Linked DNA regions of Arabidopsis thaliana. The protein of the gene in region 1 purifies or fractionates together with the protein of each later gene. This does not show direct contact. Each region holds a gene or a part of one and is shown on either strand. Other genes may lie near its edges.

Evidence for each region. The genes of interacting proteins can lie anywhere in the genome.
Region 2: the proteins of BRI1 (region 1) and AT3G11130 purify together in Arabidopsis thaliana (affinity purification with western blotting, with the first as the bait; one study listed by BioGRID). This does not show direct contact.
Region 3: the proteins of BRI1 (region 1) and CRT3 purify together in Arabidopsis thaliana (affinity purification with western blotting, with the first as the bait; one study listed by BioGRID). This does not show direct contact.

The regions. Positions count from the first base shown.
Region 1 is NC_003075.7:18,322,707-18,329,373, forward strand, and holds BRI1 (Leucine-rich receptor-like protein kinase family protein), read left to right. Parts: upstream 1-1,750; 5' UTR 1,751-2,119; coding exon 2,120-5,710; 3' UTR 5,711-6,125; downstream 6,126-6,667. Other genes in the region: PLS (polari), read right to left, coding at 6,483-6,593. UniProt on the Arabidopsis thaliana protein: Receptor with a dual specificity kinase activity acting on both serine/threonine- and tyrosine-containing substrates.
Region 2 is NC_003074.8:3,489,024-3,493,958, forward strand, and holds the start of AT3G11130 (Clathrin, heavy chain), read right to left. Parts: upstream 3,043-4,935; 5' UTR 2,645-3,042; coding exon 2,600-2,644; intron 2,265-2,599; coding exon 2,060-2,264; intron 1,521-2,059; coding exon 1,432-1,520; intron 1,332-1,431; coding exon 1,253-1,331; intron 1,175-1,252; coding exon 1,047-1,174; intron 948-1,046; coding exon 849-947; intron 767-848; coding exon 658-766; intron 572-657; coding exon 492-571; intron 407-491; coding exon 179-406; intron 93-178; coding exon 27-92; intron 1-26. Other genes in the region: AT3G11150 (2-oxoglutarate (2OG) and Fe(II)-dependent oxygenase superfamily protein), read right to left, coding at 3,963-4,292, 4,791-4,935. UniProt on the Arabidopsis thaliana protein: Clathrin is the major protein of the polyhedral coat of coated pits and vesicles. Mediates endocytosis and is required for a correct polar distribution of PIN auxin transporters.
Region 3 is NC_003070.9:2,667,283-2,673,888, forward strand, and holds CRT3 (calreticulin 3), read right to left. Parts: upstream 4,676-6,606; 5' UTR 4,519-4,675; coding exon 4,407-4,518; intron 4,115-4,406; coding exon 4,007-4,114; intron 3,518-4,006; coding exon 3,325-3,517; intron 3,136-3,324; coding exon 2,877-3,135; intron 2,597-2,876; coding exon 2,540-2,596; intron 2,414-2,539; coding exon 2,366-2,413; intron 2,179-2,365; coding exon 2,092-2,178; intron 2,002-2,091; coding exon 1,944-2,001; intron 1,852-1,943; coding exon 1,784-1,851; intron 1,510-1,783; coding exon 1,414-1,509; intron 1,243-1,413; coding exon 1,186-1,242; intron 1,093-1,185; coding exon 1,006-1,092; intron 886-1,005; coding exon 853-885; intron 738-852; coding exon 726-737; 3' UTR 543-725; downstream 1-542. Other genes in the region: HDA08 (histone deacetylase 8), read left to right, coding at 5,245-5,488, 5,639-6,225. UniProt on the Arabidopsis thaliana protein: Molecular calcium-binding chaperone promoting folding, oligomeric assembly and quality control in the ER via the calreticulin/calnexin cycle.

The DNA of each region.
Region 1 (6,667 bases):
CTCCACCAATCGCACTCACCTCCATGAGCGCGTGTAGACCACGTCGCAATGGTGGCTCGATGTAGAAACAACGCCGTTTTGTGTTCACGTATGTCTGACGCGCGAGCAGAGAGCGTGGGTGATTTGTCACACGAGCGCTTATAAATGAGAGTGTGGGGAGGACAGTTTCGTCCCTTTTTTGGAAGTTAGAATCATTACACTATTTTGGCGTTTTGCTTGATTATGATGACATTATAGAATAAAATGTTCTATTATACGAAATTAATACATCACTAAACATACTTTTCATTCAGTTTGTATTTAAAAAGTTACTTGTACCAATATAGTATTCTATCAGGTTGTTTGTTTTTCTGTTCAATTGTACTTATACAAACCTTCCAAAAAAAGTGTTACACTTGCGATAGATAGTTACACAAATGTCATTCTCTATGATCTTCCTTCTTTATTTGAAAATGGTATCGCAGTATTATTCGCTGAAAGTTGAACCTTCAAACCAGTTACCATTGCAGACGACATTTTCTCTACAAAAGTTAAAGTGATAGTAACATATCTCGAATTTAATTGAAAAGTTTACTACTCAAGTAGTCAAGTTCCTGTTACCCAAAACTATGTGTATAAAGTGAATTTTTTGTTAATTATGTAACTATGTATACACCGGGTACAGCTGCACGTAGGGTTTGTACATAATTACGAAATATCTCTATAAAACTGCGACAGAAGGAAAAAATAATAGAATAAGGCTTTAAGAGAAGTTTGGTCTATCCGTCTATGTAAGTGCCAGAGAAAAAGAAAGCAGTTTAAAAGTGAAAGGAGGGATTAATTAGTGGGAAAAGGTTTATCGAAAACTAATAATAATACTTCTCTGATTATTAAAAAGAGATGGAATCTGCCATTAATTGACACTCATGTCCCAATCGTCTCTCACACGTACGTTCGTTTTTTTTTTTGTTTCTCTTTTGCAAAAAGCTATAGAGACAATCTCTCCTCCACTTTATTTTTAGTTTTTCTTTCAGATACAAGTGAGAGTGAACAAGAGAAGAGTGTTAATGTGAAATGTTTGTGGTTGGTGTGAAATTCATGTAAAAATATGTATGTATTACCTTAACATTAAAGTAAATTTGAACTCTTTCAAACTATCACATTGAATGCTCCAAATCTTGTTGTATATGAGTATCAATATAAAAGAAATTTAGATGCTTATACTATGTTCCATTTTTACTGAACACTACTTAACCATTAGTCCATAAATGTGGAATTAGTTAGTTGCTGGCATCTTTATATCAGAATCAAAAGTTTTGCATATTGGGTGACAGTGAGTGCATACACCAATAATTCACCGATCAAGATCCAACCAAGTAAGAAGAAAAATATAACATGAATTATCTTGATTTTTTTTTTAATAAAAATAAAAATCAATGAATATATATGCTTATTATAAAAAAAAACCCAGCACTAAACAGAAGATCAGATTAGACTTGTGTTTTAAAAATATTGAGAAGAGAATCAAGAGATAGGTGGTTGGGGGTAAAATGTATACAAATGTTACAATAAAGTCTTAAGAAGAGTTTAAAAAGGGTAAGTAGGATATGTAGCTTGCAGAAGACTTGATCCCATCCCCTAATCTCACGTTAATTAAACACCTCTCTCATGTACAGACAAAATACCTCATTTCTTTAACTTAAACTTAACAAAAGCTACTATGAGATTAAGGATTTTGTGATGCCATTATTTTATTTATTTTTAGTATCCTCTTGCATTAATTAACTTTTTTTTTATAACCACATACAATAATTAAAAGTAGTATTATTTGTTTGTATCTGTTATCGAAATTGAAATTAATATATATAATTTTTATAATAATCAGAAGAAGAGGTAACATGGCATGTGAGTGCACAGCTGTGACCACTCTTCCCTTCACCATTTGATAAATACCTTCTTCCATCTTCCTTCTTCTGTCTTTTGACTCTCTTCTCTCTCTCCTCTCTTTCTGCTTTCCTCAATCTCTCTCTTTCTATCTCTAGAGCTTCCACTTCCTCTCTAATGGTGGAACCAAAACCCTAGATTCCCCCTTTCATCTTCTCTACTTCCCACACTTTTCTCTCTCACAAACTCTTGAGAAATGAAGACTTTTTCAAGCTTCTTTCTCTCTGTAACAACTCTCTTCTTCTTCTCCTTCTTTTCTCTTTCATTTCAAGCTTCACCATCTCAGTCTTTATACAGAGAAATCCATCAGCTTATAAGCTTCAAAGACGTTCTTCCTGACAAGAATCTTCTCCCAGACTGGTCTTCCAACAAAAACCCGTGTACTTTCGATGGCGTTACTTGCAGAGACGACAAAGTTACTTCGATTGATCTCAGCTCCAAGCCTCTCAACGTCGGATTCAGTGCCGTGTCCTCGTCTCTCCTGTCTCTCACCGGATTAGAGTCTCTGTTTCTCTCAAACTCACACATCAATGGCTCCGTTTCTGGCTTCAAGTGCTCTGCTTCTTTAACCAGCTTGGATCTATCTAGAAACTCTCTTTCGGGTCCTGTAACGACTCTAACAAGCCTTGGTTCTTGCTCCGGTCTGAAGTTTCTTAACGTCTCTTCCAATACACTTGATTTTCCCGGGAAAGTTTCAGGTGGGTTGAAGCTAAACAGCTTGGAAGTTCTGGATCTTTCTGCGAATTCAATCTCCGGTGCTAACGTCGTTGGTTGGGTTCTCTCCGATGGGTGTGGAGAGTTGAAACATTTAGCGATTAGCGGAAACAAAATCAGTGGAGACGTCGATGTTTCTCGCTGCGTGAATCTCGAGTTTCTCGATGTTTCCTCCAACAATTTCTCCACTGGGATTCCTTTCCTCGGAGATTGCTCTGCTCTGCAACATCTTGACATCTCCGGGAACAAATTATCCGGCGATTTCTCCCGTGCTATCTCTACTTGCACAGAGCTCAAGTTGTTGAACATCTCTAGTAACCAATTCGTCGGACCAATCCCTCCGCTACCGCTTAAAAGTCTCCAATACCTCTCTCTGGCCGAGAACAAATTCACCGGCGAGATCCCTGACTTTCTCTCCGGCGCGTGTGATACACTCACTGGTCTCGATCTCTCTGGAAATCATTTCTACGGTGCGGTTCCTCCATTCTTCGGTTCATGTTCTCTTCTCGAATCACTCGCGTTGTCGAGTAACAACTTCTCTGGCGAGTTACCGATGGATACGTTGTTGAAGATGAGAGGACTCAAAGTACTTGATCTGTCTTTCAACGAGTTTTCCGGCGAATTACCGGAATCTCTGACGAATCTATCCGCTTCGTTGCTAACGTTAGATCTCAGCTCCAACAATTTCTCCGGTCCGATTCTCCCAAATCTCTGCCAGAACCCTAAAAACACTCTGCAGGAGCTTTACCTTCAGAACAATGGCTTCACCGGGAAGATTCCACCGACTTTAAGCAACTGTTCTGAGCTGGTTTCGCTTCACTTGAGCTTCAATTACCTCTCCGGGACAATCCCTTCGAGCTTAGGCTCTCTATCGAAGCTTCGAGATCTGAAACTATGGCTGAATATGTTAGAAGGAGAGATCCCTCAGGAGCTCATGTATGTCAAGACCTTAGAGACTCTGATCCTCGACTTCAACGATTTAACCGGTGAAATCCCTTCCGGTTTAAGTAACTGTACCAATCTTAACTGGATTTCTCTGTCGAATAACCGGTTAACCGGTGAGATTCCGAAATGGATTGGCCGGTTAGAGAATCTCGCTATCCTCAAGCTAAGCAACAATTCATTCTCCGGGAACATTCCGGCTGAGCTCGGCGACTGCAGAAGCTTAATCTGGCTTGATCTCAACACCAATCTCTTCAATGGAACGATTCCGGCGGCGATGTTTAAACAATCCGGGAAAATCGCTGCCAATTTCATCGCCGGTAAGAGGTACGTTTATATCAAAAACGATGGGATGAAGAAAGAGTGTCATGGAGCTGGTAATTTACTTGAGTTTCAAGGAATCAGATCCGAACAATTAAACCGGCTTTCAACGAGGAACCCTTGTAATATCACTAGCAGAGTCTATGGAGGTCACACTTCGCCGACGTTTGATAACAATGGTTCGATGATGTTTCTGGACATGTCTTACAACATGTTGTCTGGATACATACCGAAGGAGATTGGTTCGATGCCTTATCTGTTTATTCTCAATTTGGGTCATAACGATATCTCTGGTTCGATTCCTGATGAGGTAGGTGATCTAAGAGGTTTAAACATTCTTGATCTTTCAAGCAATAAGCTCGATGGGAGGATTCCTCAGGCTATGTCAGCTCTTACTATGCTTACGGAAATCGATTTGTCGAATAATAATTTGTCTGGTCCGATTCCTGAGATGGGTCAGTTTGAGACTTTTCCACCGGCTAAGTTCTTGAACAATCCTGGTCTCTGTGGTTATCCTCTTCCGCGGTGTGATCCTTCAAATGCAGACGGTTATGCTCATCATCAGAGATCTCATGGAAGGAGACCAGCGTCCCTTGCTGGTAGTGTGGCGATGGGATTGTTGTTCTCTTTTGTGTGTATATTTGGGCTGATCCTTGTTGGTAGAGAGATGAGGAAGAGACGGAGAAAGAAAGAGGCGGAGTTGGAGATGTATGCGGAAGGACATGGAAACTCTGGCGATAGAACTGCTAACAACACCAATTGGAAGCTGACTGGTGTGAAAGAAGCCTTGAGTATCAATCTTGCTGCTTTCGAGAAGCCATTGCGGAAGCTCACGTTTGCGGATCTTCTTCAGGCTACCAATGGTTTCCATAATGATAGTCTGATTGGTTCTGGTGGGTTTGGAGATGTTTACAAAGCGATTTTGAAAGATGGAAGCGCGGTGGCTATCAAGAAACTGATTCATGTTAGCGGTCAAGGTGATAGAGAGTTCATGGCGGAGATGGAAACCATTGGGAAGATCAAACATCGAAATCTTGTGCCTCTTCTTGGTTATTGCAAAGTTGGAGACGAGCGGCTTCTTGTGTATGAGTTTATGAAGTATGGAAGTTTAGAAGATGTTTTGCACGACCCCAAGAAAGCTGGGGTGAAACTAAACTGGTCCACACGGCGGAAGATTGCGATAGGATCAGCTAGAGGGCTTGCTTTCCTTCACCACAACTGCAGTCCGCATATCATCCACAGAGACATGAAATCCAGTAATGTGTTGCTTGATGAGAATTTGGAAGCTCGGGTTTCAGATTTTGGCATGGCGAGGCTGATGAGTGCGATGGATACGCATTTAAGCGTCAGTACATTAGCTGGTACACCGGGTTACGTTCCTCCAGAGTATTACCAAAGTTTCAGGTGTTCAACAAAAGGAGACGTTTATAGTTACGGTGTGGTCTTACTCGAGCTACTCACGGGTAAACGGCCAACGGATTCACCGGATTTTGGAGATAACAACCTTGTTGGATGGGTGAAACAGCACGCAAAACTGCGGATTAGCGATGTGTTTGACCCCGAGCTTATGAAGGAAGATCCAGCATTAGAGATCGAACTTTTACAACATTTAAAAGTTGCGGTTGCGTGTTTGGATGATCGGGCTTGGAGACGACCGACAATGGTACAAGTCATGGCCATGTTTAAGGAGATACAAGCCGGGTCAGGGATAGATTCACAGTCAACGATCAGATCAATAGAGGATGGAGGGTTCAGTACAATAGAGATGGTTGATATGAGTATAAAAGAAGTTCCTGAAGGAAAATTATGAGAGTTAGAAACAGAGCCAAAGCAGATTCTTTGAACATCAAAATCATCTAAGGGTCAGTCCGATTTTCCTTGGGTCTATTTTTTTTGTATTTTCTACTATATGCTAAGTGTATGTATCTATGTTATTTATACATAAGACGGATGTTTTTTTTTTCGGGCTCGGTCGAATTGGGGGTGGTGGAGAATAGAACTAAGTAATAACTTTGTTAAGAATATGTAAATATACAGTTTTTTGGGGAGGGATTTGTAATGTTTTCGTTTTTAGTTCTATGGAAATTTCTACGTTGCTAACAAATTAAATTTATAATGAATCATGAAGAAACAAAGAGCCAATGTGTATTAAATTTCGACTGATCATGTTCATGTAAATGCACGTGACCTATTAATTCATTATTGTCGGAATTAATTTGGGGAATTCACACTGCACGGGAATGGGAAAGTGAGAATAGATGAGACTTAAATTTGTTTTTATGGATGTTATATTTACATGACCAATGTGGTCCCTTTTGAACTATGCTGAGTTAAACGTTTTTTTTTTTGCTATATACTTATTACTGATGAAATTGAACCGTTGGACTATATTTATATCCATCTACGTTATTTTTTCCATTACTATTGATTTTGTTATTGGCCCAAGTAGAATCAAAAGAATGGTTTTTTGATGTCATAATTTGCAATATAGAAATGGGAGGGATATGTATTGCATAATAAGATAAAGATAAACCTTTATCGAGACATAAGATTGTATGTAGATATTGAAAATGATAGGGTGATCAATGGATTTTAAAAAGTTTAAACAATTTTGCTACTAATAAATAAGAGATTGATATATAACATGGAGAAATGGACCTTCGCCTGAAATTAAAACAAAGTCTGGGTTTCATTCATGTTTCAGTGAGACACTGCGCCAACATCACCACAACAAGTCTTACACAAGGAACGTGTGCCTCACGTGCTC
Region 2 (4,935 bases), on another chromosome or scaffold:
TCTGATCCAAGATAATTATCACATACCAGATTTTCTGCACCAGGGAGGTTTCCTCTTTTAGCAAGATTGACAGCAAGTTCCAAATTGTTCAACTGTAATATAAAGGCATAGATTTCTTAGCATGTCATGATGAATAGATAGATTATATAGAGAAGAACAAAGTAAAAGTTGAACATACTTGACCACTAATAAAAGGTATTATGGTGGCCTCATTTACTGTTGCCAAAAGAACTTGTCCTCGCCTATTAATGGCATAGAAACCCCCAACTGAGGAAGCTTCAGACGTTAAGAAAATTGGGTCCGGACTTATCCGATTTCTGTAGATAGCAGAAGCTGTCTCTAGATCATATACAAACAGCAGGCCAAGCTTGGTGATGACATAAATCAAGTTAAACTTGTGAGAGACCTGTTGGGAGAAAGAGAAGTCGGTGTCATGAATTTTTCACAAGAAACTTACTGAAGTTAATTGAACAGCTAATGCAACTACAAACCTGCATGGCCACAGGAAAATCATCAGCAAAATCTGGGGGGAAAAAGAGATCTGCCTGCTTTTTTGTAAATGATGGTTTCCCTGAAAAAAAGCCGCCCACCTTTAAACATCAGACTAATACCAACTAACAATAACCATGAAAATATAGAGCAGTAGTTTAAGCTAACCTGGTTGGGCACCAAGTTCAATAACATGCAGCTTTGATGTTATCTGCCCAGCATTAAAGCTCTTGCTTGCAAATGATATAAGAATCGAAGGATTCTCATTCCCAGGGACCTATCAATAATAATGTCGCTTGTCATACTACAGTTCAAGATCCGACCATGGAATGAAGTAGCAAAGGTATCACATAGTTTACCTTAAACTGAGCAAAAGATGCAGCATGTGCTTCAAGGGCCTGGCTCCGCTGTTGATCCACAGAGAAAAGCTGCATATTTCCTTTCACCAATTGTGGTCTCTACAGAGGATAATAATGACAAGATTCCGTCAAAAATATACAACATGACTGCCGTTATGATGTCTTAATTCAACCTAATACGTGGTGCAGGAACCCTACCTCAGGAGAGCCAGGGGCAATTCCAATCAAGACCAACCACTTCTCATTAGGAGAGCACTTATAGTTTATAATTTGATTGTTTGCCAAATTAGCCGTTCTATCAAACATCTTAACTGGCTCAGAATCACCTGGAAATATCGAAGCAAAAATGAGAAACAACATATACATGATATGAAGAAGCTGACAGTAAGTTAAAGATATAAAACCTTCAATTGACCAATGATACACAGAAGTTTGTGTGACCAGTCCCAGCATCTTAGGTGTGATCCACTTCCAAAAAGCAACCTATAATATCCAAAAAATTCAGACCAGTAAAATCAGAGTCTGTCTGAAGAGTACAACATGAAAGATAATCGGGTTACAATTTGTTTGCTTCAAAATTCACCTGCTCAGGCATCTGATGTGACTTCAACTTTGCCTTTGCTTCAATGTTAAATATCTGTAGATGATCCTGAGTAGTTCCTGGAACTTGAGCTATATACGATACGAATTTAAGAAAAAGTTAACAACAAATTAAGGAAGAAATAAGTAATAGCTTATACAAGGAAACATCCAGTACAAACCAAAATTTCTAGTTTAACTACACTAAGCTTGAGACACAACACTGCCACGAGAAATATAACACGTGTTGGAAAACAGAGAGCGCTATACTGATGTTTTCTACAGCATTAAACATGCTATCACCCCAAATCCAGAAAAAGAGTATAGGACTACAACATAAACTCGAAGAGTGTAGTTACACTTCCATACTACTTTAATAAAAATAGGTTTTCTATCAAGTGACGCATCACAACATGGACAGAGTCATTTAAACTTCAAATAAATCAAAACATCCTATCCGTAATAAATAGCATATGTACAGTTAACAAAATGAAGGAGAAGCTATCAATGGTAGTTCTGGAGAAAACTTTAATAGGAACCACTTATGGGTCTTATAACTGATCATACACTTCAAAAGGAGAATCTTATGGGTGTTATAAGTGATAATGCGATCGAAGGAAACAGTGTAATACCTTTTAAGGCAAGGATCCTCGAGTTTGGGTTCATAAGAGCAGAATCAGCAGTTATAGGCCTCCTTAAAGGCTGCATCGGCATATTCATATCGATAATTACAACACTGTTCTGCGGTGCCGTCTCTCGTACACATATGTACTTATCAGACTCCATAGTAACATTTGTAAAGGTGATGAACTGTTGACCGATCCCAACGCTCGGAAGCTGGAAAATTTCCAAAACAAAAGTAATCAATTGGCATAGTTCATTAACTTAGTTACAAGATCCGAGTAGATAAGCACATTGCGCAACACAATAACTTAAAACTAAGGACTATATACATTCAGATAACACAGATCTGAGCGTCCGCAGAGAAAATCTGATCAGAGAACTTGATCTCAACGATCGGGTAGAATTGAGAACAGAATGAAACTTGAATCAATCATATAACAGTGTGAGCAGAACCAAATCGATAGAAATCAGAGACTACAACTATAGAAACATGTTAATCGTCCAAAATTTTAGCTCGATTCCCGGAGATTTAAAAACAGAGAACTCACCGTTAGGACCTCCTTCATAATGATGGGCGCGTTAGCAGCCGCCATGTTTGACCTCAGATCGCGGCGAGAGAATCCGGGGCCAGAATCAGATCCACGGAAAGGACGGGACCGTCAACGGCCGAGCGATGCGAGAGAAACTAAGGAAGATTTGAAATCGCAGCCAGATCTGAGGCAAGTGAAGGAGAAAGGTGATGATGGTGGAGAGAGATTCGTTTTTTTCTTTTTGGAAAGTGAGAAATGACGAAATAGCGATCCAATCGGAGTCACTCGTCGAATATAAGGAGAGAAACCAAAGGAGAGACGACGTGCTACAAGTGCCTGAGCTGTACGATGTGCTTTTGCCAAAGTTACGGGTTCGGATAGTATTCGGGTCGAGTTTCAAACCGCGTAAATCGACGGGTCGGGTTTTGTCACGACACACACTACTTTTTGGGAATTTTATGCGTATGTTTTGAGCAATGGTCAATGACTCAATCATGGTTAAAAATTAAGATGAACACAAACGAGAACGAAGTTTGAAATAAATTTTCTAAATATGGAGATGAAACAAAAAAAAAAAAACTTTTTACCAAAAAAAAAAAAAGATATACGAAATTTTCTATTATATCTTATCAAAATTAGGGTATGAAGACCAAAATATTTAAATTTATGTCGATTTAAGTGTTGCATGAAAAAATCGTATAAGAAATTTACGTCGATTTAATTAGTGTTTAGTGAAGATTGTATTACTTATAATTTTAACTCGAATTAAATGATATAATCAATTTTGATGTATATAATTCATTCTCACAAGAAAATTAAAGAGCAACACCAATATGGATCACTAAATAAGTAAACATGTATACGTAGATTTGAAGTCATTCATTGATATTCTGCCTCAATGAGAGATTAAAAGCCAACACTGTATTTCCTCATTTTCAAAAACAGGATGCTATAAGCGTTTGTGTCACCTTCTAATTATAACAAATAATCAACATTGGAAAACAAAAGTTATGAAGTAGAATTTGGTTATGATCTCAAAAGACTCAGTTTTAAAGTACATCATCAAAGTCATAGATTCTTCTATATAAAATCTAGGAGTTGAGTTTAGTGTGATAGAGTCATTGGTGTAACCTAAAAGTTTGATTTTGAAATAGTGACAGTTTTGATATGAGTATATATGAAAAAATTAGTTGAATGATGGAGTGACTATCAAAATAGAACATTCTCTGAACTGAATCGAACAAAAACAAAAATATCTCAATGCTAAAATGCTAACAATCCGCTGAAAATCAAAAGATTTTATGGGGGAAAAAAAGTAACAACAAGAACTATAGTACCAATTCAACCCAAGAAAGAAACAAACAAATCAAACATCGGTTCGTCAATCTTTTAAAGATTTGATTCTGTATCTGTCAAGTGGATCCCTGAAGAAGAGACGTTCTTGGTACACTCTCCATGCGTACTCCTTGAAACTAAAAGGCCTAAATGCCCTTCTCTCATCACTTCTTGCTCCTCCATCTTCTTCCTCCTCCTCTGCATACTCTTCTTCTTTGTCGCCGTCACTGATCATATCCTTCAATGATGAAACCATACTGTCCATGGGAAGTGTAAGCATCAATGTCATTGTTACACACTTTACTGGACCATCTTTTTGTCCTGAACACAACACTGGTCGATATTTCACTCTTTTGACCTCTCCATTTCTCCAAACCTGCCAATTTTAAGTTGTTTGTTAGCTGTTCAAAAGTTGAAAACTATATTGTAGAAAGCTGTTAGGTTTTGACCTAAAAAAAAAAGAATTGTTGAATTCTATAGGACACTAAGTACAATTGCGATGTGATGTGTATAAGTATTTAAATATCGGAAATTTCCAAATTCTTATTTCTTTCCCAATGCCATAAATCTGTTTCAAACGAAAAGTGAAAACACATTCCCCGGTTATGCTCCACAATTGTTGTTGTTGTCAACAATAAATATCGGAAATATCCAAATTCTTGTTCTCTTTTTGAACGATGCGTTGGAAAACATTTATTTTGGATAATGTTTAAAATACATTAAAACAGCCAGTTAACGGTATAGTGGAATAAAGTTCCATTACAAAGGATGATAATTTGATAATTATTTAAGGAAGACAACTAACCAATTAATTATAGATAAATAAAAGAGATATATGTGTTCTGTCAATTGTCAAAAGCAAAAGAGAACTAACCTGAGCAATGTCACCCAACGTCACAAGAACCGAGTCAACTCGGGGTAAAACGGACACCCAACCAGACTCGGTTAGCAAACAATACTTCTGTTCCCTTATCTGATACTGTAAACAAACAACAAAAGGATAAAATCCGTTGGTTACC
Region 3 (6,606 bases), on another chromosome or scaffold:
CGAATTTTCTATTTCCTAAAGTCGCCACTGATGTGATTATCAGCCGTACATTTAAAGTGGGAAAAGGTACACACAAGTCACAACATTTGTGCCCAACATAAAACGCATTTAAAATTCTTTCGTTTTTCTTTCTTTTGACTTTCGTTTACGTTTTCACACAAAATGTATCACTCTTATAATCTTATATTTTTTTAGTTTTTATCATTACGGATGCAAATAGGTGGCTTTCTAACATTAGTTAAAAAAAAATATTAGCTAGGTGGAGTAGTATTTGACGATTTATCTGTTGTCATTTTGTCAACACTCAACAATATGCTTTTAGCTAATATTCACATTAGTTCCTCCAAATGAACATGGTTACCATCAGTCCACACCACACTTTCTAGCTAAAGATTTCTATTTTTTGTATTTTCACTAAGAAACGCCAACCTCTCAGTTCAACTCAGCTATCTTCTTCAGGATATAGAGAAATTTTCTGTGGTGAAACAATTAAAATTACCACCACTATCAAACTTCACAAATCACTGCATGGTAGTTTGTCGTTCTTGCCAATTTTAGAATTTTTGTATTGGAAGGGAAAAATAACAAGTCAAGTTTTCATGCCAAAATACATTATAAGAATATGAATACAAAAGGTTACAAATTATGAAATTACAAACACACATTCAAAGCAAAATATAGATAATTTCCCCCAATGCTTTGCCAAATGCCCACCACTCTGCGCCTCATAGCTCGTCCTACACGAAATTCAGAATCATAACAAACTTACATTTTTAGAACAGTTAAGATGATTCAGTACTAAACTGCATAAACCATTCTTTTTAAAGTGGTTGAGATAGAAGGAACACTTACATGGTAATCATCCATATAATCACGTGGATTCGGCTGCAAAACAAAACAAAACAAAACAAAACAAACCATTTCCAACAATATTCACTCACTTGGTTTCCAGATAAAACAGAGTTGAGAAGGTTATAATTCATTTGGACTCAAATAAGTACTTACCCGTTTGTAACGCCTCCTCCTGTCTCCATACCGGTGGTCCCTTTCTTTCCGCCTGCGTTCACCTTCTTCCCGTGCTATCCGAGCTTCCTGTAAACGTTGATTTGTATGGCCATGCTCGTTAACTAGGATATACAGAGAAGACTTGAAAAGAGAACAAGAACTTTTTTGTGAACTACAAACCTCATCTTCTCTAGCTTTTCTTTCTTTCTCTGCTTCCGCAAATAACTCCTTCTCAGACTGGTGCATATGGCCAAGTATATAGCATATCAAATTCACTAATAAGACATTTTCGTATATAATAGCATGCAGAAAATCCATTTGCAATTACTACACACTTGCAAGATCAAAAAACTTCTTTGATTTTATCCAAAAAGAAGCAAAAAGATATACAAAGACTTGGAAATCTACCTCCCTGTGTTGGGCAAAATAGTCATCCACGATGCTTCTTGCATATGCCGGGTCATCGCAGATCAATATATTGTCAAAGATTGAGCCAGCCTTCACCTGCAGTGTTAAGATCATTTTTTTTTCATTCAGATGCACTAGATAAGTTTGATCCCTCGTCTAAAATGAAGACTTTTTATCAGATCTTTTCTGTTTCTTTTGGTTTTGTTTTCAACCCTAAAAATTTGGATGACCTATATGTACAAGCAGCATATATATGTTAAAAGAACTAATTGGCAGTGAATATTATATAAATATTCATCCATATCTGGTGATGATGTAGTGATTATAAAAGTTAATATTTGATGGAATTCAAGAAAGCTCTAGAACTTACCTGCCATACTTCAATGCCTGCATATTTGATAGACTTCAGAACGTAAAGATCTGGATCATCTTCAAATTCTGTGCAAAACCGAGAAGCTCAAGCTTAGTATTTATAACAAGAAGAAATCCAGCTCAAAATGAACATACACATTAAATAGGTAGAAACATGCCTGGATTATCTATCCATGGGTTCTTCCATTTTCCCTTGTAGTTCGGGTTCTTGATTCTCTGTAGGAAAATAATGTTTTGAGAAATGTCAAATGGAGAAGAAGAAAAAACAGTAATCTATATAACCATTGATGACTGTCATATAATAACCTTTGCTTTCCAAGGACCTTTGTACGCAGAATTTGGGATCTTTGGAGGTTCCCAGAGACCATTTTCTTCCTCGTCCCAGTCCTCGGGCTAAACAAGTAGAGAGAGAGATACAAGACACAAAGCTTCAGACTATAACACAGTAATGAGTTCCAAAAAAGAATGAGTGCCATAATGTCAGAATTTGCAGTGATATAGAATGAAGAAAGAATGATGGATCTCTGAGACTAAAAAATAACGACCAATCATTTAAAGAATCTAATATAACAGTACATACCTCTTTAGCTTTACGATCTGGAATTTCACGTGGAATAGAATCAAAACCCTGGTTACAAAAGGAAGAACGAGCCAGTTGCCTGAATTAAACTAAGAATTAAGAGAATGGGAACTGAATAGCTTCCTTTCAATACAAATTGTATTTTCTATATTGCTAAGTTTACTAAAAAGTTACCTCGGGTTTGACATCGTTGGGGTCATCGATGTACTCTCTATCATCCCAGTCCTCTGGCTGCAAAATACAGACTGTTAAGAATCTATCAAGGTGAAAGCTAAAAGAAATGTAGTGTTACTGGCTTACTGCATATCTTGCTCTTCTATGAAAATTTAGTATAACCTCAGATCAAAACCATAATCCATTTTCCTCGTCATACATCATAAATTATAATAGCTAAAAGCTAAGTGTAACTATCTCAGAAAAAGGTTATCCAACCTTGCAAATGTTTGGTTCAGAAATTCACATTGCATTTAAGAAAGAGTCTATGAAACCTTATAAGCACCCAGACAGTTACCTTCTTTGCATTCTTGACCTTGATCTTCCTTGGAGGAAGGATGTCCCAGTCTGTGTACATACTGCCAAATTCTCTCTCTTTATTATCCACCAGAACGCTGTAAGAAGCGTCAGGACGCAGAATAAATGTGTAGAAATGATTTAATTTGTCTGTTTCACATTGCAAATCCTTTTTGATTGGATAATTCTGTCCCTGATATGAAACTATAACATGAAGCTTCTTCGTCTGTGTTCCGCATATATCTGGTCCAAACATTAGACTGCATAGAAAAACTAATGAGAATCCCCAAACACAACAACACCATGTGACGACTTTGTTGTAAAAAACATGGACATGTAATCATTTATCAAAGTTCACTGGATTAACTAAATCAACGCAACTTGACTTAGATTGCAATATAACATTCTATCAACTGATGTTCATTGAAAAAGCATTAATGTATGATTACCTGTATGGAGTATCACCACCAAACTGCTTCTGGTTAACATAGCCAGACAGGAGCTTAATGTAAGCACCACCACATTCAATGTCTTGTTCAATCTTGACTGAGTACTGGACAACAAGAGTCCGGTTTTTGTTGCTAAACTCAGGAATCTTTGCAGAAATCGCATAATGCTTGGCATCATTATAAGTCTGAATACCTAAACACATCAAGAAAATCAAAAAAGAAAGAAAAAGATACTAAGTTAAACCAAATAAAGATTCTATATTCCTCAAGTTAACTTTCGAGATCGAAAGCTAGTACACTTGACGATCCATAATTGTATCACAGAACAAAAGAGCTCAAGATCTACACACAAACCTGCTGCTGAAACAAACATATCTAAGAACTAAAATAGAAATCCTAATTATAACCAATTAAAGATTTAATTTTCTTCAAGATAACTTCAAATATCGAAAGGCAGTAGACTTGCGAACTCCATGTCTTAGTCCACATAACAAAAGAGCTGAAGATCTACACACAAGTGGCAGCTAACAAGAACATATCAAAGAACTAAAACACTGCAACATAACAAAGATCACAGGGAGAATGGTGATATAGATTCTCGTATTCTGAAAATCAAGTGAGACCCTTAACGCCAAAAAGACGGAGTTCTGCAGTGTGCTTAAAGGTGGGCGAAAGGAAGTACCTTTATTGTCAGGATCGCCGGGCCATTTACCGGCAGTGTGCTTAAAGGTTCCAGCTTTGCCTTCGTTTCTTTTCCAATCAGACAAGACCCACCTACTTTTCCATCCACCTGAACACAATCTTACTAAGTTAATTCCATAAACCTATAAATAGAAAGCCAAAATCCAGAACCATAGAATCGTTATATTAACCAGAATAGGAAAAGCAAAGCCTATAATAGAAGATTCTAGTGAAGGATGGATTCGGATTCACTATCCTAATCAAATCAAAATCTACCAAGGAAAGTTACTACTTACTAATCATAGCAATATATTCAAAAAGGAAACAAAAATAACAAATCGTTGTTTTGTTTCCCAGAAAAGGAAAAAAAAGAGAGAAGAGTGTTTATATATATACTTCACCTTCGAAATGCTCCTCTAAGAAGATCTCGGAGAAAGCCAATGGGGCAAGAGTTAGTACAGAGACGAGGAAGAAGAAGCAGAAAAAACTGAGCTTATTTTGAGGTAATCCCATTTTTCAGAATTTCTCACTTCATCATGGTTACTGAAAAATTGTGCTTGGGCCTTTATAGCAAAGCAGAATGTTGACTCAGTGTCGTTTGGTTTAGTTACAATATTGCCCCTAAGGTTTGGATTTTTCTTTTTTTCTCTATGTTGTTTTTCTCAAGTCGTCGTCGCAGTGTGGAGTGGACTGAAGAATATTCAAAGTCGTTTATCATCGTAAGAAATGGGGCAAAACTGGTCTCAAATAATAATTGCTATGTTTCTTGCTCTAATCTCTTATATTGCCATTATGATTTATAACAAATCTTGTTCTAACTAAATCTAGCCGAATGTTTTGTACATGATACTTGTAGCCAAATGTTTTTTATACGAATATGAATCATAAATAAATTCAATTATATTTTCTTTATTTTATGAGAGCGAAGAATATATTTTTTTTGTAGTCAAAAAATAAAGGTTCTACAATAATTAAATGTGGGATAACGAAATCCAAAAAGCTCCAATCTAAAACAGTACAACATGTCATTAACAGCATGTTCAGTCCAGGCCCAATAAGCACGAAATTTCTCTTCTCCGAAATTAACTTAATCCTTGAGTTTATTTGGAAAAGACATTTATACCCCTTGTTATCTCAATGGTTAGAGAACACGTGTGTTGCGCGTGAGCATCCTCCATTATTACACCACCGTTGGCCTCCGACGACGGCTCAAGCCTATCTTCGTCGCCGGCTTCTCCGATGGTTACCAATCGCGTAGACGTCTTCTGGCACGAAGGAATGCTCCGACACGACGCCGTAGAAGGCGTCTTCGACACTGGATACGACCCTGGATTCCTCGACGTATTGGAGAAGCACCCGGAGAACGCCGATCGCGTCAGGAACATGCTTTCGATTCTCCGACGCGGTCCCATCGCTCCTCATGTCAATTGGTTTACCGGTCTTCCAGCAATCGTTTCGGAGCTTCTAATGTTTCACACTTCAGGTACATCGCTCTAAGGTTCGCAGAAAAGAAGGAACTTTTATAAAAACCTGTTTCTGAATTTGGTAGTTTTGACAAATCTTAACCTTAAAAAATTCGACTTTGATTTGTGATTATTGCTTTCTCATGTAATCCATTGTGATCCTTGTACAGAGTACATTGAGAAGCTAGTGGAGGCAGATAAATCAGGAGAAAGGTGTGAAATTGCCGCAGGTACTTTCATGAGCCCAGGCTCGTGGGAAGCTGCTCTTCTTGCAGCTGGAACAACTCTTTCAGCAATGCAACATATTCTTGATTGCCATGGGAAAATTGCATATGCTCTGGTACGCCCACCAGGTCACCACTCACAGCCTACTCAGGCTGATGGGTATTGCTTCCTCAACAACGCTGCTCTTGCTGTCAAGCTGGCATTGAATTCGGGTTCTTGTTCCCGAGTTGCGGTTATTGACATCGATGTACATTATGGAAATGGCACAGCTGAAGGGTTTTATACATCTGATAAGGTTCTTACGGTGTCACTCCATATGAACCATGGATCATGGGGATCGTCCCACCCGCAGAAAGGGTCGATTGATGAACTTGGTGAAGACGTGGGATTGGGTTACAATCTGAATGTCCCTTTACCGAATGGCACGGGTGACCGGGGATATGAATATGCCATGAATGAGCTGGTGGTTCCTGCAGTTAGAAGGTTTGGACCCGATATGGTTGTTCTCGTTGTTGGTCAAGACTCTAGCGCTGTAAGTTCTTTCTTTGCCCAAATACGTGTAGACTATCTGACTGAGCACTTACTCAGGGTTTTGTTCGCAATTATTGTTTTGGTTACAAGTAAATCGCTTATGTATGCTGCTCCAATATGGCTCTGCTGTGATAAGTCTGCATAAGTAGTTAGAAGAGTGCAGCTGTTGCATTAGTCATGTCATCTCTCTAATATTCAGTCAGCAAAAGATAAACGAATCAGTATAAATGGAAGATGACCAAAGGAGGAATGGGTTGTCTAGGGATTTGGGTATTGGTTTTGCATTGGAAGAGTCTAGGGTGCTCGAGAATTCACCATAAGATTATATCTTTGGATTCTTTGCTTCAGTTTGCATTCTTATTCAGAGAGGAATAAAGGAAGA